Linked DNA regions of Rattus norvegicus. The protein of the gene in region 1 interacts with the protein of each later gene in a biochemical or structural test. Links are inferred from orthologs where the notes say so. Each region holds a gene or a part of one and is shown in the gene's direction. Other genes may lie near its edges.

What was found.
Region 2: the proteins of Hif1a (region 1) and Egln2 form a complex in vitro, tested with the Homo sapiens proteins (3 studies listed by BioGRID, with this or other methods). The link is inferred for Rattus norvegicus from reciprocal best matches to the Homo sapiens genes HIF1A and EGLN2.
Region 3: the proteins of Hif1a (region 1) and Epo form a complex in vitro, tested with the Homo sapiens proteins (2 studies listed by BioGRID). The link is inferred for Rattus norvegicus from reciprocal best matches to the Homo sapiens genes HIF1A and EPO.
Region 4: the proteins of Hif1a (region 1) and Kpna6 form a complex in vitro, tested with the Homo sapiens proteins (2 studies listed by BioGRID). The link is inferred for Rattus norvegicus from reciprocal best matches to the Homo sapiens genes HIF1A and KPNA6.
Region 5: the proteins of Hif1a (region 1) and Naa10 form a complex in vitro, tested with the Homo sapiens proteins (4 studies listed by BioGRID and IntAct, with this or other methods). The link is inferred for Rattus norvegicus from reciprocal best matches to the Homo sapiens genes HIF1A and NAA10.
Region 6: the proteins of Hif1a (region 1) and Egln3 form a complex in vitro, tested with the Homo sapiens proteins (5 studies listed by BioGRID, with this or other methods). The link is inferred for Rattus norvegicus from reciprocal best matches to the Homo sapiens genes HIF1A and EGLN3.
Region 7: the proteins of Hif1a (region 1) and Fhl2 form a complex in vitro, tested with the Homo sapiens proteins (2 studies listed by BioGRID). The link is inferred for Rattus norvegicus from reciprocal best matches to the Homo sapiens genes HIF1A and FHL2.

The regions. Positions count from the first base shown.
Region 1 is NC_086024.1:98,357,778-98,362,920, forward strand, and holds the start of Hif1a (hypoxia-inducible factor 1-alpha), read left to right. Parts: upstream 1-2,120; 5' UTR 2,121-2,446; coding exon 2,447-2,481; intron 2,482-5,143.
Region 2 is NC_086019.1:91,583,899-91,588,818, reverse strand, and holds the start of Egln2 (prolyl hydroxylase EGLN2), read left to right. Parts: upstream 1-1,833; 5' UTR 1,834-1,873; intron 1,874-2,498; 5' UTR 2,499-2,728; coding exon 2,729-3,595; intron 3,596-4,920. UniProt on the Homo sapiens protein: Prolyl hydroxylase that mediates hydroxylation of proline residues in target proteins, such as ATF4, IKBKB, CEP192 and HIF1A. Target proteins are preferentially recognized via a LXXLAP motif.
Region 3 is NC_086030.1:24,839,662-24,844,521, forward strand, and holds the start of Epo (erythropoietin precursor), read left to right. Parts: upstream 1-1,623; 5' UTR 1,624-1,645; coding exon 1,646-1,658; intron 1,659-2,221; coding exon 2,222-2,364; intron 2,365-2,837; coding exon 2,838-2,924; intron 2,925-3,194; coding exon 3,195-3,374; intron 3,375-4,131; coding exon 4,132-4,287; 3' UTR 4,288-4,860. UniProt on the Homo sapiens protein: Hormone involved in the regulation of erythrocyte proliferation and differentiation and the maintenance of a physiological level of circulating erythrocyte mass.
Region 4 is NC_086023.1:147,277,536-147,281,049, reverse strand, and holds part of Kpna6 (importin subunit alpha-7), read left to right. Parts: intron 1-1,339; coding exon 1,340-1,465; intron 1,466-1,913; coding exon 1,914-2,041; intron 2,042-3,283; coding exon 3,284-3,462; intron 3,463-3,514. UniProt on the Homo sapiens protein: Functions in nuclear protein import as an adapter protein for nuclear receptor KPNB1. Binds specifically and directly to substrates containing either a simple or bipartite NLS motif.
Region 5 is NC_086039.1:156,806,654-156,810,193, reverse strand, and holds the end of Naa10 (N-alpha-acetyltransferase 10), read left to right. Parts: intron 1-90; coding exon 91-135; intron 136-1,626; coding exon of another isoform or gene 1,627-1,645; exon of another isoform or gene 1,646-1,660; intron 1,661-1,688; coding exon of another isoform or gene 1,689-1,701; exon of another isoform or gene 1,702-1,713; coding exon 1,714-1,798; intron 1,799-2,401; coding exon of another isoform or gene 2,402-2,492; coding exon 2,493-2,729; 3' UTR 2,730-2,816; downstream 2,817-3,540. UniProt on the Homo sapiens protein: Catalytic subunit of N-terminal acetyltransferase complexes which display alpha (N-terminal) acetyltransferase activity. Acetylates amino termini that are devoid of initiator methionine.
Region 6 is NC_086024.1:77,390,067-77,394,409, reverse strand, and holds part of Egln3 (prolyl hydroxylase EGLN3), read left to right. Parts: intron 1-3,139; coding exon 3,140-3,259; intron 3,260-4,052; coding exon 4,053-4,189; intron 4,190-4,343. UniProt on the Homo sapiens protein: Prolyl hydroxylase that mediates hydroxylation of proline residues in target proteins, such as PKM, TELO2, ATF4 and HIF1A. Target proteins are preferentially recognized via a LXXLAP motif.
Region 7 is NC_086027.1:52,880,089-52,883,299, reverse strand, and holds the end of Fhl2 (four and a half LIM domains protein 2), read left to right. Parts: intron 1-1,616; coding exon 1,617-1,768; 3' UTR 1,769-2,209; downstream 2,210-3,211. UniProt on the Homo sapiens protein: May function as a molecular transmitter linking various signaling pathways to transcriptional regulation. Negatively regulates the transcriptional repressor E4F1 and may function in cell growth.

The DNA.
Region 1 (5,143 bases):
TTTTCTTTTTCTTTTTTTTTTCTTTTTTTCGGAGCTGGGGACCGAACCCAGGGCCTTCCACTTGCTAGGCAAGCGCTCTACCACTGAGCTAAATCCCCAACCCCTCAGTTGGCATTTTTGAGCAGTTGGAACCGGTTAATCTACAGAAGCCCGACCAGTTGCCACTAGCACGGATTTGGGGATAAGAAGAACAAGACCCCCAGCATTTAATGATGGCTTCCTATCGCCCTATGTGGTTTCAAGTGCTTTCTGGATGCTATAATCACCCCTAATTCAGGAGCATAAATACCACCTTCTCTCTCTTACAAGTGACTAAACTGAGGCACAGAGAGTGACATGATGGTGAGCACTGGTGCTTATAACCAAGCTCACTCTGAATTCTGCAGCCATTCTTCTTAACACTGTGTTTTCCGGGTGTCACAACAGAAAATATTTCCATGATTAAAAACAAATGAAGGACAAGCAATTATTTTTGGTCTTTTACTCTATCTATCTATCTATCTATCTATCTATCTATCTATCTATCTATCTATACTCCCTGTAGCTCTTTCAGAGGTATGTTCTAGATTCCAAACAAAAATACTGCTCAAGTCAATTTATATAGTCTTAGCTTCTTTTTTGAAGCCAGGACCTTGTGCATACTAGACCACTGCTCTCCGACTGACTAAGCTAAATCTCCAGCTGTGTCTTCATGGGTCTATTGAGAGGCTTTATACATTGTTTATTGTCTTATTAGACCTGGACACCATTTGTATTTATTGGGGGGCGTTGTTTTTGGATTTGAATGCAATTTAAATCTGCCACAGATGTCTACATTATTATACAACCCAACGTTAGATTGTAACGATGTACTAACAAGGCAAAGAAGAGCTATTAAACAGTCAAGTGTCAGGTCAGTTTCAGAGACCTCAGATTCAGATCTCCAACACGTGTGTGTGTGTGTGTGCGTGTGTGTGTGTACATGTGTGTGTGCACACGCAGGTGCATGCAGTGTTCCTTTGTTGGGCTTGGAATACATTAAAATTAAAAAAAAAAAAACTAACAAACATCATACCCACAGACCTAACATTCATGCTTCCAAAGACCGACCAAAAGTGATTGCTTTAATCCATAGTTCCCAGCACAGCCGGTGAGCAGTCCTGTCAAGGTCTGTAGGTTGGAGGATGCATTCTTCCTTCTTTCAGTCTAAACAGTGAACTTTAATAAACTCAGTCTGAAACAATTCTTGCACCTTTTCTGCATCTATTTAAGATTATCTTTGTCTTTTTTTTTTCAAAGCAACATAATAGCAAAATAAGTCTACTCAATGCTTTTTCCTGCCTTGTCACTCAAATTCAGGCTTGTGCTCTCACTTATTGAAGCTGTTATTTATGTGTAAATTAAGATAGTTTATTTTAAAATGGCCCTGCAACTTCACTCGCCTTGAGAGGTTTTGCAAGAGGGATTTGTTTTATATTTTTATTTGCATTTGCTCAGTAGTCAAACTTTGGCCCAGAAAATCGTTAATGACTTGGAGACTTCCCTTGTTCTGTGGCAGAGAGCAGAGACTGAGCTTCGTCCGGTCACCTGGGAAGGAGAGACCCCACTCTAACAGCAGGGGGCTGGCTGCCAGAACACAAAGTTGGCTGTTTTTGCAACTGGAAACTCAGGAGGGATGGGCGGGGACCCGGTCCAACCACGCAACTAAGGAGTAAGCGAGCCTCAGACAACTCCACAGAGAGCAGGGCAGTGTGAGCACGTTCGGACACAGGCTTAGCATCCCACTTGCTCCAGCAGCGCCTCCCAAGGCCAGACGCAGCTTTCCATTGAAGGCGCAGAGTCCCCAGACCTGGGCTCAGCCGCACCCGTCGGTCGCCCCTTTCTCTTCTCTCCCTAGCTGCACACAGACGAGCACGTGAGCTGGGCAGCTCGCCCCAGCTGGGGCTCAGCTGACCTCCTCCTGATTGGCTGAGAGCAACGTGGGCTGGGGTGGGGCCTGGCCGCCTGCGTCCTTTCCCATTGGCTCTCGGGGAACCCGCCTCCGCTCAGGTGAGGCGGGCCCGCGGGTGCGCGCGTCGGGCTTAGCGGGCGCGCGCAGCCCTTTGCTCCCCTCCCCTCGCCGCGCGCCCGAGCGCGCCTCCGCCCTTGCCCGCCCCCTGCCGCTGCCTCAGCGCCTCAGTGCACAGAGGCTCCTCGTCTGAGGGGACGCGAGGACTGTCCTCGCTACCGTCGCGAGCAGTGTCTGGCCAGGCCTTGACAAGCCAGCCGGAGGAGCAACTAGGAACCCGAACCAGAGCCCGGCGAGCGCAGCCTGCAGCTCCCGCCTCGCCGTCCCGGGGGGGTGTCCCGCCTCACACCCCGCCTCTGGACTTGCCCCTTTCTCTGCGCGTGAGGACAGAGCCGGCGCTTAGGCCGGAGCGAGCCCAGGGGCTGCCGGCCGGGAAGACACCGCGGGCACCGATTCGCCATGGAGGGCGCCGGCGGCGAGAACGAGAAGAAAAAGTAAGCCGGGCCGCCGCGTTCTGTGGGCTGGCCTTTTTTTGTCTCTGCTCCCCTTCCGTCCCCCCCCCAGCCTCACGCGCCGGGCTCCCCCGCGGTCCACGTCGCCATCTTGGCGCGGGGGGTGGGAGTCGCGGGCCCAGCGCTCGGCGGGGCTGGGGTCTCCGCCCCGGACACCCGCCCCGCGCCTTCGCAGCCCAGCCTGCCCCGCGCGCTCATCCGGCCGAGCCGGCCCCGGCCGAGTACGCCCCTAGCTCCCGCGCCTTCCCGCCCCGGACCTCCGCGTTTGCCGCGAGCACCGGGCCCCGGGCGGACCCTGTGCGCGCTGCCAGCTTCCTGGGGTCGAGGCCCTCCGAGGCCGACCCCGGGCTCCCCGGAGCCGCCTCGTTGTACCGCGGCCGCCGCTGCCTTTGTAGGTTAGGGAGTTTCTTCGGGGGGCCGGAAGATGCTAACTTTCTAGTTTGCACGTGCAGGTTTTGTTGGAAACACTTGCCACCATCAGAGTAACGGGAATTTAGGAAAATGGCATCATTTTAAATAACTTACAGTTCCTACAAACTTGTGTTTGCATCACCTGTCAGGAGAGCCCAGACGTTATGTATGAATATGAGTATGCCTCGTTCACTCCTGAAAATAACTTACCGATAGTTTCGGTTAAACTTAGGCCGATAATTTAATGAGATGGGGTGGGGGGTGTATATAATGAAAGCAAATGAAAACCAGCAGTTAGAATGTTGCAAGTTTATTGGAACACCTGCAAAGAATTGTATCCAAAAAAACATACATCCGAAGTGAGAAATCGTGTGTGAGAACTCAGTGTAAGTTTATGAAACATCCTGTGGTTTGAGTCTGAGAACATTATAGGCTTACGAGTGCAGCTAGTAGTGGTAAGATCGATCCCTGCCGCCAGCACACAGTTTTGTCTACTTCGATATTTTAACCTTGAGAAAATCAGTTTAAGAAGTTGAAGGTTTGTTGTAAGAGCTGTGGTTACAAGGCTGGCTTAATTCTTAAGTCCTTCCAGTCTTCTGGAAGAGATTAATTCCCCTTATCCATATCCGCAGAAGAGATAAATGTACTCATTTTCTTGCTCTTCTGTACATCCCTTCCTTGCCTTGGTCTTTATTCCATAGAACGTCCAGGTCTTGGATGCACCAAAGAAAGCACTTTGAAAATGTTTTAAAGTGAGCATGCAAGTCTAGACTTAACTCCAGGAGTTACCAGAATTAGTTGCAATTAATTTCGCAGAAGTGACTACAATGCTTTTGATGAAATGATGGGCTGCTATTCTCTAAACCTTAGGCAGATTGCCATTGTGTACTTACTGTCCTTATTAAATGCTGAATTATATTATATTAATACACTATACCAAGTAATACACCAATCATGTCTCTTTCATATACACTGTTTGTGTGTGTGTATGTGTGTGTGTGTGTATTTAATCAAAAGTAGTCTTACAATGGATAAGTAAGTTAATTGTGCATCGGGTCCAGTTCTAAATGGTTTTTAGGTTTTCCTCAGAACCATCTGTTAATTTAATTTTTCTTGTTTGAGATGTTAGCAGCTTTAGATCAGATGGGATTATATTTCTTAATATAGAGGTTCTTAATATCACTAAAAGATAATAAACATGAGTGATGGGTCACTCAACACTTAGGTGCTATGTATTAAGTATGTCTTTTTGTAATCATAATTTTGTTGAAAGATTGAGAGGTAAAATTTTTCTTTCTCCAATTAGTCCATCTTAAATGAGCCTCCAAAGTGAACAGGTGGGAAAGAATTTTGCTTTTTTAATAGAGAGTATAGAAAACTCAAATCTCAAAGATTTGGAAGAAAGCAGAACAGAAAGTGAATAATAGATTTAACAGTCGGTATGTGCTGTGTCTGACTCCTTAGCTGTTGGTACTGAACTTGATTGACCTAATATGTATATGGATTCTTAGATTTCAAGAGAATGTCAAGCTCATTCTGTTTCTAGCTTGTAGCTGAACTTTCAAATCCCTCCCCCCAAATAGTTATTGGGTCACTAAAATAAAATCTCTTAAAGATGTTTCTTAATTTCTCCTTTTAGCGTTGGTCACTAAAAATCAAGAAGTTTATTAATAAAATTTTTATTATAATTTAGCTTTCCTCCTTGTTTGAGGAATCAGTAGTCTACTGATTTAGATAGAGGATACAGATAGATAACCACAAGTTGGAGTCCCAAGCCTTTCCACTTGTGATTGTTGGCAAGTTACTGAATACTTGTGGATTATATACCCCCCCTCCCAAGAGGATAATACTAGCCTTCTGAAAATAAGATAATGCATTTAAAAACCTTAGGCCAGCACATGGTTTGTAACACATTATATACTTGAACATGGGTGTTAACTGTTATAGTTCAGACTTTCATAATCTTCAAACCTTTCTTCTGTGCCTTCATGCATTTTTTTTCTTATATTCAAAAAAATGAGAAGACTGGCTCTGAATTGAAAGGCTAGAAAGGTTCTTTCCTACTGAAGCCCTGTCCTTGGACCATGGCATCTGGCATCTAGGATCAGTTGTTTCACTGAACATATGATAGACTCTAGGCACCTATCACAGTTCCCCATCCCAGTGTTTCCTCCCTAACTAGGTCATTTTGAATCTACTCTGGGCTCTAGTCATAAACATATGCGGCTCACGC
Region 2 (4,920 bases), on another chromosome or scaffold:
ATTTGAGGTGTCCCTGCCTCAGTCCCCCGTGCGCTAGGATTGCAGGTGTGCCCATGTCCATACGTACTTCATGGTTCGTCAGAGCTGGTGTGTGCAGCAATGACGTGTCTGTGTGTGACATGCATGAATCCTTCCAGGACTTGTACATGGGGCAGTGTCAGTGGAACGTGTGATGCTGTGCCATGTGAGTAGTCTCTGGCCTGGTGACTGTTGGTGAGGCTGCTGCCGTGTGCAACATCAAGACCAGGGAACTGGGGACTCTTAAGGCTGCCTCCATGATGTGTCTGGTTTGACTCAGTGTATGCCTCATGTCTGCAAACTAGGACGGTGGCTCACTGTGTGTTCCTAGAACACGTGCTCCTGATACTTGTTTCCTTGTGTGTGTCTGTGTGCCTGTGAACATGAACATTCTTCTCCATGTGCCACTGGAGTTCTTGTGCAACCCAGACTCCTGGTCACACTTGATGATGATGTCTTATCTCCTTGTACCCCGATGTCTTTATATGGCCTTCTGGAGACAGGTGCAGCCCCCCCAGGACAGCTTCAGCTGCTCTCACAAAAGGTCAGCGAGTATCCGACCCCATTGATTGCCCATTTGGTAGGCCCGGAGTTGGTGGAAAGGGTGGGGCATTCAAATAACCCTATCCACACAGCCCTCCCAGAAATGGTGTTATAAATGTCAGGAGTAGCTTAGTGAGAGAGCACTTGCATCGCACGTGGGAAGCTCTGAATTCAGACCCCAGCACTACATAAACAAAAAAATCCACCCGGGCTAGAGAGGAGCTGGGTTTTGCAAATGTCTTCTCTGTGAGTCTGTCCCAGGTTGCTTTAATCTGACTCCCACAGTTGCCCTGAGGGAGAAGCAAGGAGCGGGTCATGCAAATAGTACACATTTGTTCGTTTGTTCTACCCGGTTTCGCTTCTCTAAGGACATCCCGTACTCACCGTTATTTTTTTTAAGTGCTTATGTAAATTACTGACGTAGGAATTTACATACACTTTCCAACTAACTGCGCAGTCATTTCTCAATATCCTCTTGGGGTGTGTGCAGGAACGGCCCATGTAAATGATATATTTGCATAGCAAATGCCAAGAACCCAGCTGCTAGCCATTCTCTGACACTTTTGGCTCTGAGGGGTGGGCCTTTCTGTGTGAAACTGCTCATTCGTACCCCCTCCAAGGGGCCGTCTTAAGAACTCACAGAACGCCTTTTCCTGAACCTGCGTGTTTGCTTTCGCGTGGAAGGGGCGGGGCACGTAATGCAAATGAGCCTCGCGTCCGGGACCAGCTCACTTTTTTCTCCCGTAGGGTGTTCTAAGCCTCCTGTCACTGTGCGGTTCGCGCACGCGCAGTCTCCTCGGCCTGGCCGCGGTCACGTGCCCACCGGGCGAGGCGGGGGCGGGGCGTCGCGGGCGGTGGGGGGCGGGGTATGGCGCGCTGTGAAGCGCAGGGCGGCTGGCACAAACGGCGGCGCCGAGGCCGGAGGAAAAAGCTCGGTGAGGGGGTCGCGCGAAGTGAAAGACCTGGGGAGGAGAAGGAACCAGAGGTCCGGTTGCCGGACGCGGACGACTGGGCCGGAGGCAGGAGGCGGGAGCGCGCGCGGGCGGCCGCGACCCCGCGCTAGGGGGGTTGGGGGTGGGGAGGGAAGCGCGCTCCCGGCGCGGCGGGGCGGGCCATCGAGGGCGGCGGGAGCGCGCAGTAACCACCGAGGGGAGGGGCCGGGCGGACGCGGCCCCGCCTCAGTCGTCCGCGGCGTCCGGCGGCCCTTGGGTCACGGCGGAGGGGTTTGGGGAGGGAGGCAGTCCGGTCGGACCCTCCTCTCGGGCTCCCTTCCGTCAGTCCGTCCGTCTGGCAGGACCTCCCTTCCGGCTGGGTGTGTGTCGGGCCCCAGTAGGCTTCCTCCCGTAGGGCACAGGTCAACCCCACCGGCCCTCTCGCTCCCCTGCCGTCTTGTTTTTCTCCCTGTTCTCTTTGTCCCTGGACTCCCGGTTTTCCCCGCCTGTCCTGGCTCGTGGCCTTCCACCCAGGCGATCTGGTTCCCGTGAATGTCGCGCGGTGGCATTGCCCGCTGGTTCCCCACAACCCCGACTTTACCCTAGATTCCACATTCCCGTTTTCTGTGTCATCCTCCCTCCTTATCTCTGAGTCTCTATAGAAACCTCTGGCAGGTACCTCGTATTTCCCACTTCTCACCATTGCTTTTCTTCCTCAGATCTCTCTATCTCTCCCTGTTGCCTTCCTCTTTGGGCCGTCCACGCAGTGTTCTCTGCACTTTTCCTCTATTACTCTTTCTGCCAGACATTCCCTTTCAACCCTCTCAAATTCCCAAGATATATACCCCTATGCCCCCTCGTCTCAGCGAGCGTGTGTGTGTGTGTGTGTGTGTGTGTGTGTGTGTGTTTGCTGTGGCCCTGTCATCTGCTTACCGCTGGTACCATTCCCAGCCCTTCCCACCTGCTTGTCTCTGACTCTTAAGTTCTTCCTTTTCTCTCTTCCAGCCACCCCCATCAATCCTTTCTCAAGCTCCTAGGGACAACTGTGGACTTGGGGATCAGCGAGCACCCCCAGAGCACTAAAGGAGCCCCTGCTGCCTGCCCTGCCTCACCCTGCCCCACACGAGGCCCAGCGGCCCCGGGCTGCATCAAGTGGAGGAGGAGGAGGCGGAGGAGGGTGGCACCATGGGCCCGGGCCGTGCCCTCCATGCCCGGGGGATGAAGACACTGCTGCCATGGACAGCCCGTGCCAGCCGCAGGCCCTGAATCAAGCTCTCCCTCAGTTGCCAGGGTCTGTGTCAGAGTCCTTGGAGCCTAGCCGAGCCAGGATGGGGGTGGAGAGTTACCTGCCCTGTCCTCTGCTCCCCTCCTACCACCGTTCAGGAGCATCTGGGGAGGCCTCGGCTGGCAACGGGACCCCCAGAACCACAGCCACTGCTACTACTACCACTGCCAGTCCCCTGCGGGAGGGCTTTGGTGGGCAGGATGGTGGTGAGCTGTGGCCACTGCAGAGTGAAGGTGCTGCTGCGTTGGTTACCAAGGAGTGCCAGCGACTGGCGGCCCAGGGTGCCCGACCTGAGGCCCCCAAACGGAAGTGGGCCAAGGATGGTGGGGATGCCCCTTCACCCAGCAAGCGACCGTGGGCCAGGCAAGAGAACCAGGAGGCCAAGGGGGAAAGTGGTGTGGGCTGTGACAGCGGTGGCGGCAGCAGCAACAGCACTACCCATAGCAGTGGCGAGGCAAGTTCTAGGCTGAGGGAGGAAGCCCAGCCCTCTGCACCTGAGCGCCTGGCCTTGGACTATATTGTGCCTTGCATGCGGTACTATGGTATCTGCGTCAAGGACAACTTCTTGGGGGCAGTACTGGGTGGCCGTGTGCTGGCTGAGGTGGAAGCCCTGAAGTGGGGCGGGCGTCTACGTGATGGGCAACTAGTGAGCCAGCGGGCGATCCCACCGCGCAGCATTCGTGGGGACCAGATTGCCTGGGTAGAAGGCCACGAGCCAGGCTGCCGGAGCATTGGTGCCCTCATGGCTCATGTGGACGCAGTAATCCGCCACTGTGCAGGGCGGCTGGGCAACTACGTCATCAATGGGCGCACCAAGGTAAGGCACTTTTCCGGTGAGTGCCTGATGCTTTGGCATGCGGGTCTGGAGGCAAGCCTCTGGGGTTGTGTAGTAGGGTGTAGGCAGCTCCACCAGAGAGGCTACAGTTACCTCCCTCTAGACTTTGATTTTTGTACCTGAAATAGGAGTTCAGCCTGGGATGGCAGTGGTCCTTGACCTTGGCAGACCAAGAGCCCCTGACTGTCGTAACCCTCCTTAGACCAAGGGTAGGTCAGCTGTCATGCAGAAGCAGAAGTCTGGCGTTGTCGCGGTAGCCTAGGCTGAGGATGGGTGCTGCCTGTGTAGTTGAGCACCTAGCCTGGCCTCCATCCTGCCCTGGAGCCTACTCTTGGCATCTGCACCAAGAACCGCTTCCCAATGGGGTGACACTGGGTGACAGTGTGCTGGCCCAGGTAGAACACTTGTCAGCATCTTTCCCACTCCTCCCTGCCCCAGTCCCTGTTCTTTGTCCTCTGTCCGTTTGTCACTTCCTGCCTGCATTTCTCTGATCTCTTTCCTTGACCCTCTGCCTTTATATTTTTCTCCTCCATTCCTCCTTGTTGCAGAACAGTAGTTCCTAATGTTTTTGAAGTCAAGGCTTTTCAGGTAAATCTGCTGAAACCCATAGACCTCAGGAAAGGCATGCATTTGGTCGGAGTTTGTGGGCAGTTGTCAGGGTCTCATAGGCCTCCAGCAGTTCATTCAAGAACCAGGGGTCAGGAGCCCTGACTGGACAGTGACCCCCCATGCCTTTCTGGTCTGTGACCGTATCCATTTTCTTCATGGAAGAGTATGTGAGCCTGCGGCTCGGTGTCATTTCAATACAGTCCGTTGAGAGTACCTGCTGCTGGCCAACAGTGGTTCCTGGCTGGTGATCTTAGTAGGCTGTGTTCTGCCCTGTAAGCGGGAGGCTGTGTTCCCAGTGGTGCCTCCCTTCTCTGTGGGGTCCTATCTTAGGTTCTGCCTCAATACAGCTTTCTTTTCAGGCTGGAACTGGCTTGGGGACCATGGTTCCCCCACCTCCCACCCCCGGCCCAGGCCTATTTCCTCCCCACCCCAGCTGGAACTAGTCCTACTTACATCTCCCTCCTGTTATGTGAGAGCTGAAGAGCCAGAGCTGGCCCCTCCCTGGGTTGGCTTCTGTGCAGGCAAGATCGGTGTTGCTTCCCCGGCTCAGCAGCTCTGCAGGAGGGAAGTCAGGAGGGACACAGGAGAGCTCAGTGCCCAGAGACTGGGCACAGCTCTGTAACCTCAGGGTGGGAAAGCTGGGCCAGGTGCCTGGCTACTCAAGCAGTCTGGGAAAGCAATGTAAAGGAAGAAGTTGT
Region 3 (4,860 bases), on another chromosome or scaffold:
CAAGTTATTTAGAATAGCATTCACGGCTATTTTACAACCTGGTTCCTCCCTAAGAGCACTCTGGTCTGATCCCCTCATTCCACACTCCCCCCAGCCCCCCACCCCACTCCACATCCCATAGAATTGTGTTCCACCCAAACTGCTCAATCCTCAAGTCTGAGCTCAGTGATTTCTGCCATCCCATCTGCCTTAACTTCCCTGGTTGGATATGAGCTTGTTCACCCTCAGCTCTTACACCTCAGATCTGCACACTCCAGTTCTGATACATTGCCTGCCATGTTCAGAACCTGTCTTGCTGTGTATGATCTTGAAGAAGATTAAAACATATCTTGTTTTATCCTGCACAAAATAGACATTGGTCCTGGAGACCAAACTCATCTGTAGAACCCCTGCCTAGAATCCCCCAGGGAGGGGCTGGGGGCGTGGCTCAGTGGTAGAGCCCCTGCCTAGAATCCCCCAGGGAGGGGCTGGGGGCGTGGCTCAGTGGTAGAGCCCCTGCCTAGAATCCTCCAGTGAGGGGCTGGGGGCGTGGCTCAGTGGTAGAGCCCCTGCCTAGAATCCCCCAGGGAGGGGCTGGGGGCGTGGCTCAGTGGTAGAGCCCCTGCCTAGAATCCCCCAGGGAGGGGCTGGGGGCGTGGCTCAGTGGTAGAGCCCCTGCCTAGAATCCCCCAGTGAGGGGCTGGGGGCGTGGCTCAGTGGTAGAGCCCCTGCCTAGAATCCCACAGCTCAATGGGAGTTTAGCTACAGTGTTTGCCTAATAGAAAGCACTGGGTTCCCGTCTCAGCACTGAAAAGACAAAAAGCAAGAACCTACTGTCAACCTGCCCACGTGTCCTCTGTAATGCACCACAGGCTCCCTGTTCTGAAAGTTACCTTCCTGGGTTTTTAGGGTTCTAGAAAATGAGGAGAGGGAGGGGAGGAGGCCCATATTCATTACTCCACTTGTCTGAGTCCGATTCCTCAACAGGGTCAACCCTGACCCTTAGAACAAGTCTAAGATTGTAAGAAGAAAAAGCATCTGAGCTGCTTCTAGACTCCAGCTCTAGCTGTTTCTGATCTAAATCCCTGCCCCAAGACAAGGACGCCCCCCAGGGGAGGTGTTCTGGTGCCCAGCTTTTCAATTATCCTCACCTCAGCCTCACGCTTCCCTTCCCGCACATCTCACAGATGCGCACTCCACTGGTCTACCCTCCTGTAACTCAGAACCACCCCCCTCCCAAGACCCCCCTGACAGCGTGTGTGCCTGGAACAGCCTGCTCTACCCCAGCAAGGACCCGACCCAGGCGTCCTGCCCCTTGCTCTGACCCCAGGTGGCCCCCACCTCTGGCGACCCCTCACGCACACACAGCTTCACCCCCACCCCCACCCGCGCACGCACACATGCTGATAACATCCCCGACCCCCGGCCGGAGCCACAGTGTCCCCGGACCAACCCCGGCCGGTGGCTGTGTCTCACTGTGTTCCCGAACAGACCCTTGGCCAGGGCCACCGCGTCCCCACTCTGCCCGCGCCCCCTGGACGGTGACCACCTTCTTCCAGGCTACTGGGGTGATCTGGCCCCACAGAACTTCTAAGGATGAAGACTCACAGCGTGGACACTGGCCCAGCCCCGGGTCGCTAAGGAGCCGCAGCAGCCAGGCGCGGAGATGGGGGTGCCCGGTGAGTACTCACAGGCTAGGGACCTGTGACCTCCAGGGCTGCTGTTTGAGCAGGGATTTACATCTAAAGCTATTGGCCAGGAAACGGCCGGCCGTATTCAAGGACCTGCGACTCTCCAAGGATCAAGGAAGAGAGGGGGGTTGGGGCAGCCTCCACGTGCACGAAGGGGTTTGGGGAGCCCCCTGTGAATGACAAAAAGGCGGGGGGATCCAGAACAGGGACAAAGTTTAGGATTTTAGGGAGATGAGGCGCTGCTCTGCGGGTGGAAAGCTGCTAAAAGAATTACCTGGGTTCAGGAGTCCCAGCTTCCCTGGATCTGCCAGCCTCTGGCGTGCACCCACAGTGAAGTTTGGCCGAGAACTGGATGCCGGTCGGTTGGGGGGTGGGGTGTGCAGCGCCGAGGGATTGAATGAAGGCCACTCAGGCAGAGCCTAAGCAATTGCAAGGTCGGGGTCAGCAGAGACTAGAAGGGCAGAGGGGTCTCGCTGAGCAAACCGGCCCCTGCAGTCCCACGGCCCCCTCCCCTCCCCTCCCTCCTCACACTCAGCCTGCCTTTCTTACAGAACGTCCCACCCTGCTGCTTTTACTATCCTTGCTACTGATTCCTCTGGGCCTCCCAGTCCTCTGCGCTCCCCCACGCCTCATTTGCGACAGTCGCGTTCTGGAGAGGTACATCTTGGAGGCCAAGGAGGCAGAAAATGTCACAGTAAGTGCTCTGGCCCCACAAAAGAAAGAAACTGGTTCTAGGGGATCTGGAAATCTGGGTTCCCTCCCGGAACTGCCTTTAGGGTCAAGATGAGATGTTTAGCCTTACACCCCTTTCTGTCCTCCCACAGGAATGAAAAAAACTGGGCAGGGGATGTGGCCCAGTTGGTAGAGCGCTTGCTTTATTGTGCAAGAAGCCTAGGTTCGATTCCCAGTGCCGCACGAACCATTTAGGTGGCACAAACCTACAATCCCAGTATTTGGGAGGTGGAGGCAGGAGGGTCAGAAATTCAAGGTGATCCTCAGCTACATATCAAGTAGTGAGGCCAACCTGGGCTACATGAAACTATCTAAAATAAAGAATGGCAAAGCTAGTAGCCCCCAAACCCTGCTGGTAAAGTTCAAAGACGGTGTCTGGTGGCTTTTGGTGGAATGAAACCCTTGGACATCTTGACCCAGGGCTGTGTCTTTTAGATGGGCTGTGCAGAAGGTCCCAGACTGAGTGAGAATATTACCGTCCCAGATACCAAAGTCAACTTCTACGCTTGGAAAAGAATGAAGGTGAGCTGCACTGTGTCTGCTCCCCGTTCTCATCTCCATCTGTCTGTCTGTCTGACTGTCCATCCACACCCCCCTCCACCCCTGGTTCCTAGAGGTTGGTGGGTCTCATTCTCAGATCTTGATAATGTGGGAGAAAGAACGTTAGAGGCAATAGTTGAGGGGATAGAGTAGCTCTTATTCATTCATTCATTCATTCATTCACTCATTCAACAAACCTTACTGCTTGAGGATGACCCTGGCTGGCTGTTTCTAAGTCTTTGCCTCCCCTAGGTGGAAGAACAGGCTGTAGAAGTTTGGCAAGGCCTGTCTCTGCTCTCAGAAGCCATCCTGCAGGCCCAGGCTCTGCAGGCCAATTCCTCCCAGCCACCAGAGAGTCTTCAGCTTCATATAGACAAAGCCATCAGTGGGCTACGTAGCCTCACTTCACTGCTTCGGGTGCTGGGAGCTCAGGTGAGTGTGAGTGTCTGTGTGAACCCTGCTACTTGCCCTTCTACAGGACGCGCCAAGAAGGTTAAAGAATATTGAGGTCTGAGCCAGGGAGGTCGCTCAGTGGGGAAAGGAACTTGCTGCTAAGCCTGATGCCCTGAGTTCGATCCCTGGGACCCACAAGCTGAAAGTCCTTTGACTTCCACCCATATAATAGTGAATTAATGTAATATCAAGTTTAAAACAAAGAATACTGACAGCTCAGGCTGGGGAGATGAATCAGAGGACGGCTCTCTGCGCAAGTGTAAGGAGACAAGTTTGATCTCCAGAATTTCTGTTAAAAAAAAGTGAGGTGAGGTTGAACGTACACGTAATCCCAGAGCTGGGGGAGACAAGCATAAGGATTCCTGGGGACTCACTGGTCCGCCAGTCTTGCTCAGTCTGTGAGCTCCAGGTTCTAGGAGAGACGCTGTCTCAGAAACTTCAGGTGGCAGGGCTGAGAAATGGCTCGGTGCTTAAGAGAGCTTGCTGCTCTTGCAGAGTTTAATACCCAGGACCCATATCAGGTGGCTCATAGCTGCCTTCACACCCCTCCCCCAGGGAATCTGGAGGGTGTATTGTGGATGCCCTGGGCACCTGCATACATTCACACCCACATTATCATAAATATTGTGGAGAGTGACCCCTGCCATAATACTGAGGTCTCTCTTTGCACACCCCTCCCATTCTGTTTTATCTGTAGTCCTCAGCAGTCCAGTGACATCCTATTTTCTCTTGACAGAAGGAATTGATGTCGCCTCCAGACGCCACCCAAGCCGCTCCACTCCGAACACTCACAGCGGATACTTTCTGCAAGCTCTTCCGGGTCTACTCCAACTTCCTCCGGGGGAAACTGAAGCTGTACACGGGGGAGGCCTGCAGGAGAGGGGACAGGTGACCTGCCACTGCCGTGTACCCGCCAACTCGCTCACCGTCACTGTGTCACGCCAACCCTCCACCACTCCCAACCCTCATCAAACGGGGTTGTTTGTTACCTTCTTACCGGCCTGTCCTACGGACACTCCAGCAGTGATATTCTGGGGGCCAGAAGAACTTCCCAGAGCTCCATTCTGAGCCTGAGGCCCCAGAGCAGGAGAGACTGAGAGAACCAGCTCGGATTTGTTTAGTTTTCGTTGAGACAGGAAGGTCTCACATAGCCCAGGCTGGCCTGGAACTCGCTATGTAGTCAAGGACGACGTCGTTGAACTCATGACCTTTCTGCTTCCATTTCTTGAGTGCTGAGATTACAAATGCCCTGGCCCTATTTACGGGGTGCTGGACGTGGAAGCTGGGGCTTCCTGATGCGATGTGAGTGAGCTTCCAGAGGCTGACTTAGAACTCAGGGGCAGAGACAGCCAAACTCATCTAGTGCCCTGCCGGAACTGTAATCCACGCCAGCCACCTCCCCCCCCCCCACACACACAGGGCAAGCTTTGGGCTCCAATCTTTGTGGCATCTACGAAGAACACAG
Region 4 (3,514 bases), on another chromosome or scaffold:
AGCAGTGTGGCCCTGCACACACATGGACATGGAGATGTAAGATAAAGCTGGAATGACCCACAGCCAAGGGCACTGCATGGCTCCCTGTTCCAAAGTTAGAACCCGCTGACTTCCTGCCTGCCGTCCTCAGCAGGTGTCCCCATGAGTTAGTGTGTGCTCTCCCTCCTCTGGCCGGTTATGTGTGGCTTTATTCCACTGATTGCTATAGACACTTCCTTGTAAGTGAAGTCACAACATATTAGTCCTTCACATCTTTGTGTGTTGAATTTGAATTCTTTAGTAAGGCTGAATGGTGTTCTAGTGTCTGTGCATTCTGTTTTAAAGCCTTCATCGTCTTGTAAGCGTGTATGTTGTTTCTGCTCCCTAGCTGTTGTGAATGATGCTGCTGTGCGCCCTGGTGTGCAGTCTCTGCTTCCCTTTTTTTTGGTCACATGTATGCAAAAGAGATTGGATAACATGGTGATTTATGCTAATCTGTAAGGTTAGCAGCCGTGTCGTCTTCTGTCTCTACCAGCGCTGTTCTTCCATGCTCCAGCTTCTCCCTCTCCAAGACATCGCACTTCTGTTATGTCTGTGTCAGCCATCCCAATGACTGTAACGTGCTGTCTCCTGGTTTGACTTCTGTTTCTCTATCAATAAGTGATCATGAGCCTATTACATTGCTAATAGATCATCCATGTATCTCTTTTTGGAGAAATGTCTTTTCAAGCCCTTTGTTCATTTTAGTTTGATTGCTTAGGGTAGAGTTCTTCATGGGGCTGGAGAGATGGCTCAGTTGTTATGGATGGATCAGCTCTGACTGCTCTTCTGAAGGTCCTGAGTTCAATTCCCAGCAACCACATGGTGGCTCACAACCACCTGTAACGGGATCTGATGCCCTCTTCTGATGTGTCTGAAGACAGCTTCAGTGTACTCATAAAGTCTTTTTAAAGAATAACTTTTTTTTTTCTTTTTCTTTTTTTCGGAGCTGGGGACCGAACCCAGGGCCTTGCGCTTGCTAGGCAAGCGCTCTACCACTGAGCTAAATCCCCAACCCCAAAGAATAACTTTTAAAAAAATAACTTCATGGGGTTGGGGATTTAGCTCAGTGGTAGAGCGCTTGCCTAGGAAGCGCAAGGCCCTGGGTTCGATCCCCAGCTCCGAAAAAAAGAACCAAAAAAAAAAAAAATAAATAAATAACTTCATATACTCTGGATCAATCAATACTTATTTTACAAGTATTTTCTAATATTCCGCAGGTTGGCTTTGCACTGTCGATGGTGTCTTAATGCATATCTATTCTTAATTGGATTGACTAAATATTGAATTTTGATACATTTCGTATGCTGTTGTGTTTTAGGTCATTCTTAACTGTTCAGCCCTCCCTTGCCTCCTCCACCTGCTGAGCAGCTCTAAGGAATCAATCCGGAAGGAAGCTTGCTGGACCATTTCAAACATCACTGCTGGCAACAGGGCTCAAATACAGGTAGACTTGCTTCCAGAAGAAGCATTTGTTTCCCTTTGTAACGGGAGCCAAGGAAAATCTGCAAGCCGTGTAGCTCCCTAGTAGGAGTTGGCCTAATTGAGTCACCTGGATTCAGTGCCCAAGACCACCAAAACAATTGGGGCAGCATAACCAGTCGGTTACAGTGGCAGCTAGGTGCCCCACACCGTGTCCCTTCTCTAGTAAGAAGAAAGTGTTTGCAGGTGGGTTAATGGAAAAAAGCCTGAGGTTTGATTCTGGTTTGCTCTTCATCTCTTCCTCTGAGACAATGTCTTATGTAGCCCAGGCTAGCCTCAAATGACCTTGACTTCATGGTCTTTCTGCCTCCACCTTCCAAGTATTGGTAATTACAGAAGCATATGTCACCATGCCTGATCCTTCTGCTTTTTAAACTGTCTGCTTCTGTCCTCCTTCCTCACCTCTGTTTCAGGCTGTCATAGATGCAAATATCTTCCCTGTATTGATCGAAATCCTTCAGAAAGCAGAGTTCCGTACGAGGAAAGAAGCAGCCTGGGCCATCACCAATGCAACCTCAGGAGGAACCCCTGAGCAAATCAGGTCTGACTCCTTTCCTTAGAGCCTAAATCATCTGAGCTCTCCTGTTCGTGGTATTCACATGACTCAAGTGTCTTCTGGTGGGAGCCTGCCCCAGTCTAACTGTCTAAGGTTAACTAGTGAGCTGCTAGTGATCCTGGACTCTGGACTAGATTGCCAGGTTGTTTTCTGTGGTTGTTTTACTTGAGACAGAGTCTTGAGACAAGCTAACCTAGCCTACCTCAATCTCCCAAGTGCTGGGATTATGTGCACACACATCTATACCCAGCTAAGTCTTGGGGTGTTTGTTTGTTTAGTTTTGTTGAGATTAGGGCTCTCTGTGTATGCTGAGCTCTCCTTGAGATTGTGGCCCTCTTGCCTCTCGGGCTGGGGTTGCAAGGACATGCCTCAGCCTCGGTTTGCACCTTTGCTCCTTTACTGTAGTGTTTGTCATCTGAACATGAGAACCATGAGCGCTAGATTTGTCTTTCCCCTAATTACAACCTACTAACCTGTCCACATTAACGTCTCAGGAGAAAGGAAGAGCCATTGAGTTAAAACATTAAAAGGAAACTATAAGGTGCACATGATGCTGTACAACCTAAGTCTGAGGCAGAGATAGACGTCAGATCTTTGAATTCGAAGTCAGCCGGTCTATGTAGTGTATCCCAGGTGAGCCAGGGCTACATAAAGAAGTCATGTTTAGGGGTTGGGGATTTAGCTCAGTGGTAGAGCACTTGCCTAGCAAGCGCAAGGCCCTGGGTTCAGTCCCCAGCTCCGAAAAAAAGAAAAAAAAAAAAGTCATGTTTAAAAGGGTGCTGGGGGTAGAAAGGAGGATTATAGCATTATATAGAAGGACTTTAGATCATATATATATATCAATCAGAAATCTGGAGATCTTCTCAAATTTGACCACAATTGAATACCCTCAGAATGGAATATTCTGACTAGAGCTAAAAAGAGGTAGGGGCCAGATTGCAGACAATCTGTACTAACATACCACAGAAGCTGTACTCAGGGGAATAAGGAACCTGAGCAACCTTGGTGATAACATTGTAGCCAAGGTGACAATAGGGCTCTGTTCATTAGGTAATAGATCAGTGACAGAGAGGGCTGAGGATAAAAAGGCTAGGTGGCTATCCACACTCGGGAAGACTGCTTTGTTGGGAGTATCGGTGTGCATGAGGGAGACCCACAGGTCAGAGCACCTGGTGCAATTTCTGTGTTCTGCATTAATGTGGGGCATATGTCCTCTCTGGTCCCCAGGTACTTGGTATCACTGGGCTGCATTAAGCCCCTGTGTGACTTGCTGACTGTAATGGATTCAAAAATTGTACAAGTGGCCCTCAATGGACTAGAGAACATTCTGCGGCTCGGAGAGCAAGAGGGCAAGCGCAGTGGCTCAGGGGTCAATCCCTACTGTGGCCTCATCGAGGAAGCCTATGGTAGGTTCTCTCCCTGACCTCACATACGTCTGTTAGTGAGGAGATACTGGAG
Region 5 (3,540 bases), on another chromosome or scaffold:
GCAGGATATCCCTAACCCTAGCCCTAACCCTAACCTGTCAACCTGTCTGGCCAAGTTTGTGAAGCTCAGCAATGCCTTTTTCCCTTACAGTAACCGGGCTGCCCTACATCTCTATTCCAACACCCTCAACTTTCAGTAAGTACATCAAGATATTTTCTTTAAGTGGCATGATCCATCCAGTTTGCTGGGCTGAGAAAGGGGTTGAGGGACTCTAGACATTGCTGGGAGGGTTTCTGTATACTCATTGGCTATTGACTGACCTGAAGAAAGCATCTGTTTTCTCTGTGTGTGGTAGAGGAGGGTCCAATATATGTTGGGTATAGGAGGGGTGGCTTGGTACTAGTGAGACTGGTGAAGGGCAGTGTGGTAAAGGACTCACAGGGCTTCTCTGTGATAGTCTAGGAGTAAAGAGAGATAGACTAGAGCATGAGCAAAGGCTGAGAAATGGCTGGCTCCAGGAAGCATCAAGTAAGAGCAGATGAAAGGGGACAGCAAGGAAAGGGGGCCATGAGCAAAAGCAATGAGGGACCTATTGCTCTGAGTGTTTCTGATGGCTGAGGGCAGGACTCTGGACATGACCATCTCTATGAAGAGAGGACTTAGTAGTACCTAGTGCCACTTGAAAGTGAGGCTCGAATAGACTAACTTGAGGAACCACTGAGCCACACTAGACTTTGAGGGGGTCCAGTGAAGATGACACCATTGGAACAGGATGGTGGTCTTCAGCTTTTCTGGGTTCAACATCCATATTCATGGAGGGACTTTTGACCTAGTTAAGATGCCTCTGTGGCAGGAACTGCTTTACCTGCTAAGTCAGCAGTTCCCAGCTGGGTATGGTAGTACATGTCTCTTAATCTCTGCACTCAAAGTGGAGGACTGTGGGTTGCAGTCCCAGCATAGGGAGTTCCAGGTTAGTCTCAACCACATAGCAAGACCCTGTCTCAAAAGATGGGTGCTGAGGAGATAGCTTAATTGTGAGGACTTGTGTTTGATGCCTGGCACTCATGTATAAAAGCCACATACAGTGCCCTGTACCTATTATCCTAGTGCTGAAGAGGTTAAGACAAGAGAATCCCTAGGGTTCACTAATCAACAAGCCTAGTTGAATGGACAAGTTCCAGATTCAGTAAGAGACCCTATTTTGAAAAAAATAAGATGGAAAGCAACTGAGGAAGTTACCCAGCATGTATCCCTAAAGACTGGCAAGGAACCTTCCTAGGTCATCAACGGGTTTCTCTTCCAGTGTCAGGGATACTTAATTGTGCACACACACCTCCCTCCCCTCATCCATCTGGTGAGTAACCAGGTTGTCTATGATGACCATCTACATGCAGGTACAGTGTCCCTCTTTCCTAGCAGAGGAACTATGTGTTCAGTAAATAACAGGGAGCAGGTCAGGGAGAGGAAGGCAGAATTAAGGACTTCAACTCAATACACAAGTCCTTGATGGTTGGGCTAGGGACAAAGTGGTAGCAAGTCTAGGAATCAGAAGTGCCCTGGATGCTACATGCTATTTGGCTTTACTTGAAGAGCAGAGAAAACTATCATAGCTGTTGAACAAGAATCCAGTCAAATGAAAAACAAAAAGGAGAAACCCATTTACACTGGCTTTTTGCCTCTACAAAGGTCCTACAGGGGGAGATGACATTTACCCCAGTAGCCTAAGAACCTGGAGAATTTGCCCCTAGGCATGTGTCTTGATCCTACCCCCAGGATCAGCGAAGTGGAGCCCAAATACTATGCAGATGGGGAAGATGCATATGCAATGAAGCGGGACCTCACGCAGATGGCTGATGAGGTAAGAGTTCAGCCAGGCCAGGGCAGCAATTCCAGCAGTAGAGGAGATTCTGTAATTGGGAAAGGTGTCTATTTTCAGTGAGACCACAGAAAGTACAGATGTCAAAGAGCTGTGAGACAGAGTGAGGCAGTGGCGACTAGAGGCAAGACCGAGACTGAGTGTCAGCTTTTGTGGTTGTAAAGCTAGGAATCAGAGCCCCTCTTTCCCTTACTCCCTAAGCTGTCAAGTCAGGGCATGGCCTTCATTGACTGTAAAGGAGGCCATGGGATGCTTTCTGGGGAAGAAGTCTGGAGATGGGTGGAATAGGAGAGACAGTAGGAAGATTTTTTTTTTAACAGAGGAATTGGGACTACTATGGTTGGGGGCAGCCTGCTCAGATCTAGGATTAAACTGGGCTAGGGAGAAAGGGTCTCTCTGACCAAGCCTCCTGGAAAGGCACTGCTCTGTCTTGGGGGCTTCCCAGCAGCGTATTTGAGGGCAATAGAACTCATGTCATTTTACAGATGAAGCAGGCTTAGGACAGAGGTAGGATTGAACTACATTTCTACCCAGTCCTATTTCCTGCCTTGGCCCTACCACTTCTCACTGTGTCCCTTCCCCCAGCCAGCCCCAGGGCCTGGCTCCTCTTGTCTCCTGTCTGGAGACTTAGGCCCTGTCTCTTTCCACCCGCTTCCCTCTGGGCTCCCGGCGGCAGCTGAGGCGGCACCTGGAGCTGAAGGAAAAGGGCAGGCACATGGTGCTGTCGGCCATGGAGAACAAGGCGGAGAACAAAGGCAACGTGCTTCTGAGCTCAGGAGAGGCCTGTCGTGAGGAGAAGGGCCTGACTGCTGAGGATAGTGGTGGGGACAGCAAGGACCTCAGTGAGGTCAGTGAGACCACAGAAAGCACAGATGTCAAAGACAGCTCAGAGGCCTCTGATTCTGCCTCCTAGAACCTGCCCTACCTGGTCCCAACCTCACCCCATGTGCTTTTTACAATAAATGTCACCCAGTGGCCTTGGGAAATTTGTGAATGTGCATAGTGGGGTATGCTTTTTTTCCAGCTCCTATATGGCAGGGATACTATCTTCACAGCCCAGAGCGTACTGAGCTCACAAGTCAAATGTTTGAGGATGGGACCCCAATCTGGCTTCCTTCAACAACTGAGTTGGAGTTGGCAGATAAACTGTCTTGGGTGCCATATTCTCATGTCACTTTCCTGGCCTTCTACAGATCTCTGTAACATCTTTAGTAATTTTCTAGGGCTGAACAAAATGATTTCTTGGGTTTTCTATTCAGCCTCACATTTCAGAGGCAGCTCCCCTACCTTGATGTTCTTTGCTGCATTGCTTTACCCTCTCAGCCCTTTACTCCTAGTCATACTTGCTCTCTCATCAGTAGGAGCTCCAGTTTATACCTCCTGGACCCCAAGTGCTTAAGTCCAACTCCTCTTTGCACTTATCTGGAGAGATCCTAGCTGGATCCTGGCCTATTCAGTTACCCAGTTGCTCAGGCTTTTCCTATCTGTAGCCTTTTAAAAAATTTTTTTGTGAAACAGGATCTCTTACTTAGCCCAAGCTGGCCTGGAACTCATTATGTAGCCCAGGCTGGCCTCAAACCTATGCCAATCCTGCCTCAGACTCTAACGTGCTGGGATTACAGGCGTGAACCACTCCTCCATTAATATTTTATATTTGCTGTGAGGCAGTGGTGGCACACTCCTTTAATCCCAGCACTTGGGAGGCAGAGGCAGGTGGATCTGTC
Region 6 (4,343 bases), about 21 Mb from region 1:
GATTTCAAGTATTGGTCAAGCCAGGAAGTTTTTGCCAATAAAAAAGCCCTATAATAAGATACCTTCCTCATTCCCATAAAACATGAAGTGTTGCAGTGTTTCCCTCTGACCTGCTCTCTGGCTTCATTACAGACTCGATGAGGTTTAGATAACAGATCTGATAAAACCATCAGTTTCCGGAGTCTGTTACTGCCCCGTGCACAAATTGGCATGGGCTTGATGACTCGTCCCTGAGGTTTGCCTATCAGTGCATCCATAGCTTCACAGTTTGAGATCCTGTCGAGGACCAGCAGACAGTTGGGGGAATGAATGTGTTCAAGCCAAAACCCATCTCCTGTGGCACTCAGCCAGAGACCTCAGTGGTACAATTGGTCAGCAAGGTTGCGGCGGGACCTTTGAGCTTCCCGTGGTTTCCTCTCATTGTTTAAACGTGATGCACATGGCTTCTGGAATCGGAGAGAGGGTGACTTGCACTCCGGCCAGAAAAATGATTTCTTCCTTCCCTTAACAACATGTATGCTCACAAATAGCGGGGTGTCCTAGTGGCAAGTCCACAAGGCACTGTGCCAGCACATTCTCTGTTTTATACCTGCAGCAGTTAGTGGAGGGTGCGTTTGTGGGAACTGTCTGTACTTCCCGCCTGTACTTTAATTCGCGCTGAGTTCTAAAGCCTGTGCGTGCGTCTTAATGTCCTACAGGACACTGCTTTCTTCACAACGTGCTGAGCTTAGATCAAGTCTTCTCTTTGGACATTGGAGGACTGTGTTAATTACTTGTCTCATTGCTGTAACAAAACACCCGACAAAAGCAGCTGAAGGAAGGAGGGATTTACTTTGGCTCAAGTCCCAGGGCACAGTGCTTCGTGGCAGGAAGTCATGGCGCAGCTCAAAGCAGCTGGACACGGTGATTCCACAGTCAGGAAGCAGAGGGAGAAGGATGCTGGCGGCAGCTCATTTTCTCTCTTCTTTAGTTAGGACAGGTCTCCCACCTCAATTGACCCAATCTACAAAATCTATCCCCAACACCAACAGAGATTTGTCTCCAAGGTGATCCTACATCCTGTCAAATCGGCAATCGATATAAACCATGTAGCCCGCCCCCCTCATCACAGGAAGGAGCCTGGGATCACAGTCGATTGCAGATGAGGTAGATGGCAGGCATCCAGACCGCTGACCTTTTCTGGGAGCAGAGCTGTTTCGGAATATAAAGCTGAAACACTGACTGACAGCAGGCGGTTTTTTGGTTTTTTTTTTTTTTTTTTTAAGTCTGCCCAGTAGTGGGGAGACTGGGATGGTGGGGGAATCATGGAGTCATTGTGCTAAGTGGCTTTCATTGTTGGCCCTCACACACTTACGACCCGCTGCTTCCAGGAATAGGTGATTCCCTATGTCCTAGGGAACTTGTCTCTTCCTCTGCGGCCAGGCCAGCCGCTTCTGGCTGCTCACAACCGCCTCTTTTTCGAGCCGCCATCTATTTGGTAATACCATTTGTCAAATCCTTATTACAGTCACCTCAAAACCCGACTTTTGGGGAAATGTTCTGGCTAACAGAGCAACTTCAGCTCGACACAGGACAGCACAGTGGCTTGTCCAGAGGCCAGCTGAGGGGTCGCTCGCTGCGAGGATGGTCAAGTACAGATAGCCTCTGATTTAACTTAAGTTCATTCCAAAGCCAGGCCACTACTGAGCTTCCAGCACGCAGTGTGTGTGAGGCCCAACTCTGTTTTCAGGCTCTACTGGGAACCAGCTCCCTGAACTGCCAGTGGCTTAGTTTGGGGCTGTTCCAGACTACTCCTTTTCCTCATGAAGTAACCTTGCTATTTATCAAGGAGTATTACAACCCAGACCCCTAAATATGTCTGAAAGTATGCTTTCAAATCAGAGGAAGGAAAGCTGTTAAGCTGGGTAGCATGCACTCTGGTAGCAAAGAACCGTCGACAAGTTCATTGACACACTGATATGATCTGTCAGCTTTTCAGTGGACAAACCTCTGTGTCTGGTGCTCCTTAACGCCAAGATTGCACGGGTAACTGAGGTACGAGGGAAGCTTCGGGCTCTCCTTACTAGTTCCGATGTTTTCCTTACATACTCCAAATCCCTATAATGTTTAAAAATTATAGTTGTGTCTTGTAATGAGAATAGGTTTTATATTTTGCTTCTCTACCCCACCCCCACCTCTGTTACATTTCCCCCATGAAACAACAAAGGCATATTAACCTGTAATTGTAATTCTCAGTTAGGATTTTTCTAGGTGGCTTTCTTCTTCCACCTTGAGGGTATAGGGTTAACCATCATCAGGAAGAACATAGGATTTAGGGATACATTCCTCTGTGTGTGTGTGTGTGTGTGTGTGTGTGTGTGTTACATTTATTTATATATTACATTGATTTATGTATGTCTATTTATATATTTACATAAATGAATGGCTTTTTTCCCCTTCTAAGAGATCTCCCTGTATTGTGTGTGCTGACTCGTTAAGTGTTAAGGTCTGGCTTTCCACTGACCCTTCTCTTTTCTTGCGGTCCTAAGCTTTTATTGAGTAAGTGACCTTTACTCCCTTTAGAATCAGACACGTTTTTGTAAGAAAACCTGCGTAATTCCACAACGTGGGGCACTGCTAACCAAGCACAGTCCCTAAGCCCCACACCAAAGATTCTTTCTTTCGTTTAACCTCTCTGCACACCCTGTCCCTTCCTTCCTTTTGGAGAGGGTCTCCCTCTGTGGGCCAGGCTGGCCTCATGTTTGTGCCCCAGCTTCTGAGTACTAACGTTTACATGTCCGTGCCCACTATACTATGCCTGCCTCTCATATCTCTGGATTCTGATCTCATGGGGCTTGGATGGGAACCCGGAACCTGCTTTTCCACAAAGGAATATTAAAGAAAGGCAAGCATCTTGTTGATGATGTGGGTGGGTTTCTTTAGGAAGTTCTCAGTGTTCTAGAACGTGGGAATATTACCAGATCACTTACCCTGCACCAAGTCCTAAGGCCGGGCCCGCCTGTTAAGCTTTCATACCAAAGATTACCTTGTGTTCGTTTTATGTTCTGATCGTAATCCAAATGTATGCACTGTGTACCTCTGCTGTGGGAGGAGACTACCTACACTTTTTTTAAACAGCATCTCTGGAATGTCTCCACAGGCGATGGTGGCTTGCTATCCAGGAAATGGAACAGGTTATGTTCGTCATGTGGACAACCCCAATGGTGATGGCCGCTGTATCACCTGTATCTACTACCTGAATAAGAATTGGGACGCCAAGGTACTGTGGAATAGTGTGTGCCTGCATGCCTGTGTCTGTGCGTGAGTGTCTGTGTGAGTGTGTGTGTGTGTGCGCGCGTGCGCATATGTGTGTAGCTTGGGGAGTTATATGTTATAGAAGGTGCAGATAGAGGTGTTCTGAGTTCAGATCAAAAGAGCATGCCATTTCTAACTAGGTAAAACCTTCCGGTGGCTTTAAGGGAGTTATAGCTTCTAATAGCCGGTCTCCACTGTTTATGTCTTACCTCCCCCAAACCCCTACTTATGGAATTAGTGCCAAATATTAAGAAGATAGCTAGTTGTTCTAGTAGGACAAGTAGATTGTTCATGTGAAAAAAGAAAAGGCAACTGAGGAGACGGATAGATGTTCAACAAGATGCAGATAGCATGGCGTGAAAGGTCACGGAAGGGTCCAGTCAATGGGGTCAGAGGGCATTTGAAGAGTTCAGAGGTCAGCCATAAATAGTTATTACAGGAGCAGCTGTATGGGGGGCGTAGATTGAAGCAGTCTGACTTGGACAGTTTTGTGTGGTGCTCCGACTGTCCTATTTTGCGTCTGTGGCCTTCATGACCGTGGGAATGGGAAGATGCTGAACTGAAGTTGAATATAACTGTCTATAGCTAAGTCTGATACAAGTTCAATTCCAAAGTATGAGGGGGAATAAATAGTTATGGGCCAAAACCCACTTAAAGTTGAAGTATGGGTGGTATTTCTCCAGGATAGAGGTAACACATCATTGCTGATAAACCTCCTGTGAGACCAGGAAATAACTAATTATCTTCTTGGTTTTCAGTTACATGGAGGGGTCCTGCGGATATTTCCAGAAGGAAAATCATTTGTAGCAGACGTGGAGCCCATTTTTGATAGACTCCTGTTCTTCTGGTCAGACCGCAGGAATCCACATGAAGTTCAGCCCTCCTATGCCACCAGGTAAGAGGTGGGGGTCACAGTTCCTCTTCTAGGGTGCATACGAACCCTAGATTCCTGAAAACTAATGTCCTATATAAGGAAGTGCTGGGTACACCCCAAAACTGAGAGAACCTGTTTGGAGTGATGGAAATTGAAGGAGCCTCCTTGGGATTCA
Region 7 (3,211 bases), on another chromosome or scaffold:
AATCTCAAAATAAAAATAAACAGCATCTTGGATTTGCAGCTCATTCATGCCCATATGCTAAGAAGGGACATCACCATTCTTTCCCAAGCCTTTAGCAGCCCTGGGAACTTTCCAGAGCTTCCCTGGTGACTCAGAGATGTGGAAATGCTACAACAGCAGGCCTGAAAGCCAGACTGGTTTCGACCAGGGCCAGTGGCAAAGTTCTGGTTCTAGGAATAGGGAAGGCAATTTATATGGAAACTAGATACTGGGTGTTGCTTCTTTTCCTCTTTTGTGGTTCTGTGAATCGAACCCATGGATTCACACATACTAGGCAAGCACTCTGCCACTGAGTTACAGCCTCAGCTCCAGGAATTTGCCTCCCTCCACATAAGCTATCTAGGAAAAGAGGGCTGATAGACTTTGCTAGTATGTCCTTCATCAGGCAGCAGACGTGACCTTTGGAAGGACACAGGCACTTCATGGAGTCACGTGCACGCACCCAGCCTTGGCGTGGCTTGCCAAATCTGAAGTCTGGCATTTTCCTGGTGGGGAAGGGCTTGTTACAGTAGAACCAACCTGGTGAGGTAGAGTCTTTGTAGGTCTGAGAACTTGAACTTGGTGGTGGTGGAGTGGTACAGGGATAGCTACTTTCTTACATCATGATTTAATCACACCAAAGTTTTGGTAGTTGAAATTCACCACCATACAGACCACCAGTCACTGATAGTGCTGTCAGCACCCTGTGTACCTTAAACATCTCACCGGGACATTTTTCTTGTTTACCAGTGTTGGAACCCAGGCTCCAGCTCAGTGTTCAACTGCTTCCATAGCTTGCCTGATCCTGACCCTGCCTCCAGCACCGTGAAAAGAGAACACTGGTTTTGTCCAGTCCTTAACACTTCCGGGGGACTCGGGCCAGTGATCCTGCATTCTTTCACTATGCTTATCCCTTCTTTGATCGCAGCTCCCGGTCACCGCTCTGTAAGCTGGTACTTCCCTAGCCCTTCCCAGAACTTTCCCAGGGCAGCTTTCCTATCCTTTTCTCTTCTGCCTCCCTACATCCACTCCCTTTGTTACGGCACTCAGCAAAGGCACAAGGAGCTTGCTCCCTTCTCTTGTGGGGAGCAGGTTTCACGTCAGGGGAAAACATAATAATGGAGGAAACAGCAGGCATTTTTCTTTTCACAGGGCGAGTGATAGAAGCCAAGCCTTGACACCTTATAGGCAAGGGCTCTATGATGAGCTACACGGCCAGGCCAAACCGGCACCTTTTCTTTTCTTTTTCTTTTTTCGGAGCTGAGGATCGAACCCAGGGCCTTGCGCTTGCTAGGCAAGCGCTCTACCACTGAGCTAAATCCCCAACCCCGGCACATTTTCATAGTGTTATCGTACTCTTGTTAGAACCAGATTCTGTTCTGATGACCCTGAGTTCTTTGAGGCCGTGAAGAGTTTGTTGATTATACGTGCACTCTGTGTTCTCAGTTGTTCGTCTGAAGTTTACCGCGCATGTGTCATACAGTGGGGCCCAAAGGTTGAGGCCGGTCACTCACTGCGCATGTGTCACACAGTGGGGCCCAAAGGTTGAAGCGGATCAAACGGTGGGGTTGGTCACCTGTGTTTTCTTTTGTGCACAGGTCTGGGTGGCACAAAGTACATCTCTTTTGAGGAACGCCAGTGGCACAACGACTGCTTTAACTGTAAGAAGTGCTCCCTGTCCTTGGTGGGGCGAGGCTTCCTCACAGAGAGAGACGACATCCTCTGTCCTGACTGTGGAAAGGACATCTGAAGGCGACACAGAAGCCACAGCGCGTGGCACTGAGATTTGGGTGTTTTCTTTCATAACCAGGCAATGCTGTGTTCTGGTTTCCACCAGCCACCCCGAGGCTCCCTCTCGCTGTCCCGGCTTCATGTTTGTTGAAACCCCTTTAGTTCTTCAGTTTCAGTGGGGACAAGATTCATCTGTAAACCCCGGATGGGAAGATGGCTTAGAATTTTATAGAAATGCAAGGCAGATTAAATGGAAAGGTCTTGAGTGTCTTTATATTGCATCCTTTCTTCACATCCTATTTAATTTTTAAGTGCAATTAACATTTGTTATGAACTTGAATGTATTTTCAAGGGAGAGCTGGGATTTGCAGCTATGTAACTTCCGTTTTTGTGTAAAACCTAGAGTGAGATTTATGTGACTCACAATAAAATTATTCGGAATAAAACATTTTGCCAAGCACAGTGTGTGAAATAATGACAAAATGTTAGGGTCTCACTTCCCATAACCGTTTTGAGGGTCAGTGACCACTGCCTGAAGTACGTTCTGATGGTCAGTATAGGCTGGACTGCGGTGGTGTTCTTCAGAACTACACTTTGTTTCAAGAAAGCCTTCTAGTAGCACCAACGTTTCTCTCACAAGCTTCCCTTCTCCTGGAACATAAATATTCTACATTTGATGTGTAAATCTGTTACATAATATGAATGGCAGCAAGACCAGGAGGCTAATGACAGGGAGGCCACATTTTTGAGTCACTTTTAGTAACTGCTTTCATATCCATCAAGACACAAACCATACAAGGCCAGAGACAGTACCTGGTTCCTTTAATACCCTCAGCCTCAGCTTAATGTGCGCGTGCGCGCGCGCGCGCGTGTGTGTGTGTGTGTGTGTGTGTGTGTGTGTGTGTGTGTAAGAATATGTATAAACATGTAAGTGTGTGAATGTATATGTGTCTGTGCAGGTAAGTGTGTCTCTGTGTGTGTGATGATGTGTGTCTATATAAGCATGTATGTGTGAATGTGTATGTATAAGCGTGTGTGTGTGAATGTGTATATGTGTATATATGTGTGTATATATGTATATGTGTGTGTGTATGCACGCACAGGAGATGTCCAGACTCTCACTCTGTAGCAATCCTTCTGCTTCAGCCTCATAGATACAGGAATTACAGGATGGTCTATTGTATCCAGCTCACCTTCAGGATCTCGCTACAGTACACAGACAAACAGACAACTCAGACTCCAAGAGCAGTCTGTAAAGGAATCTTGCCTAGTGGCTAAGCTAGGACATGGTGAGCCTGACTTGTGTCCCTGACCACATAATCATTTCTCTTTAGGATGATAGCATAGTTGTGTTTCTACCTTTTATTTCCTAAGACAGTTTGATAAATAGACAAGCCATGCCAAAGAGAACACATCTGTTCAGTGCACAAATGTAGTCAGTTTGTTTTTTGAATGGATACAG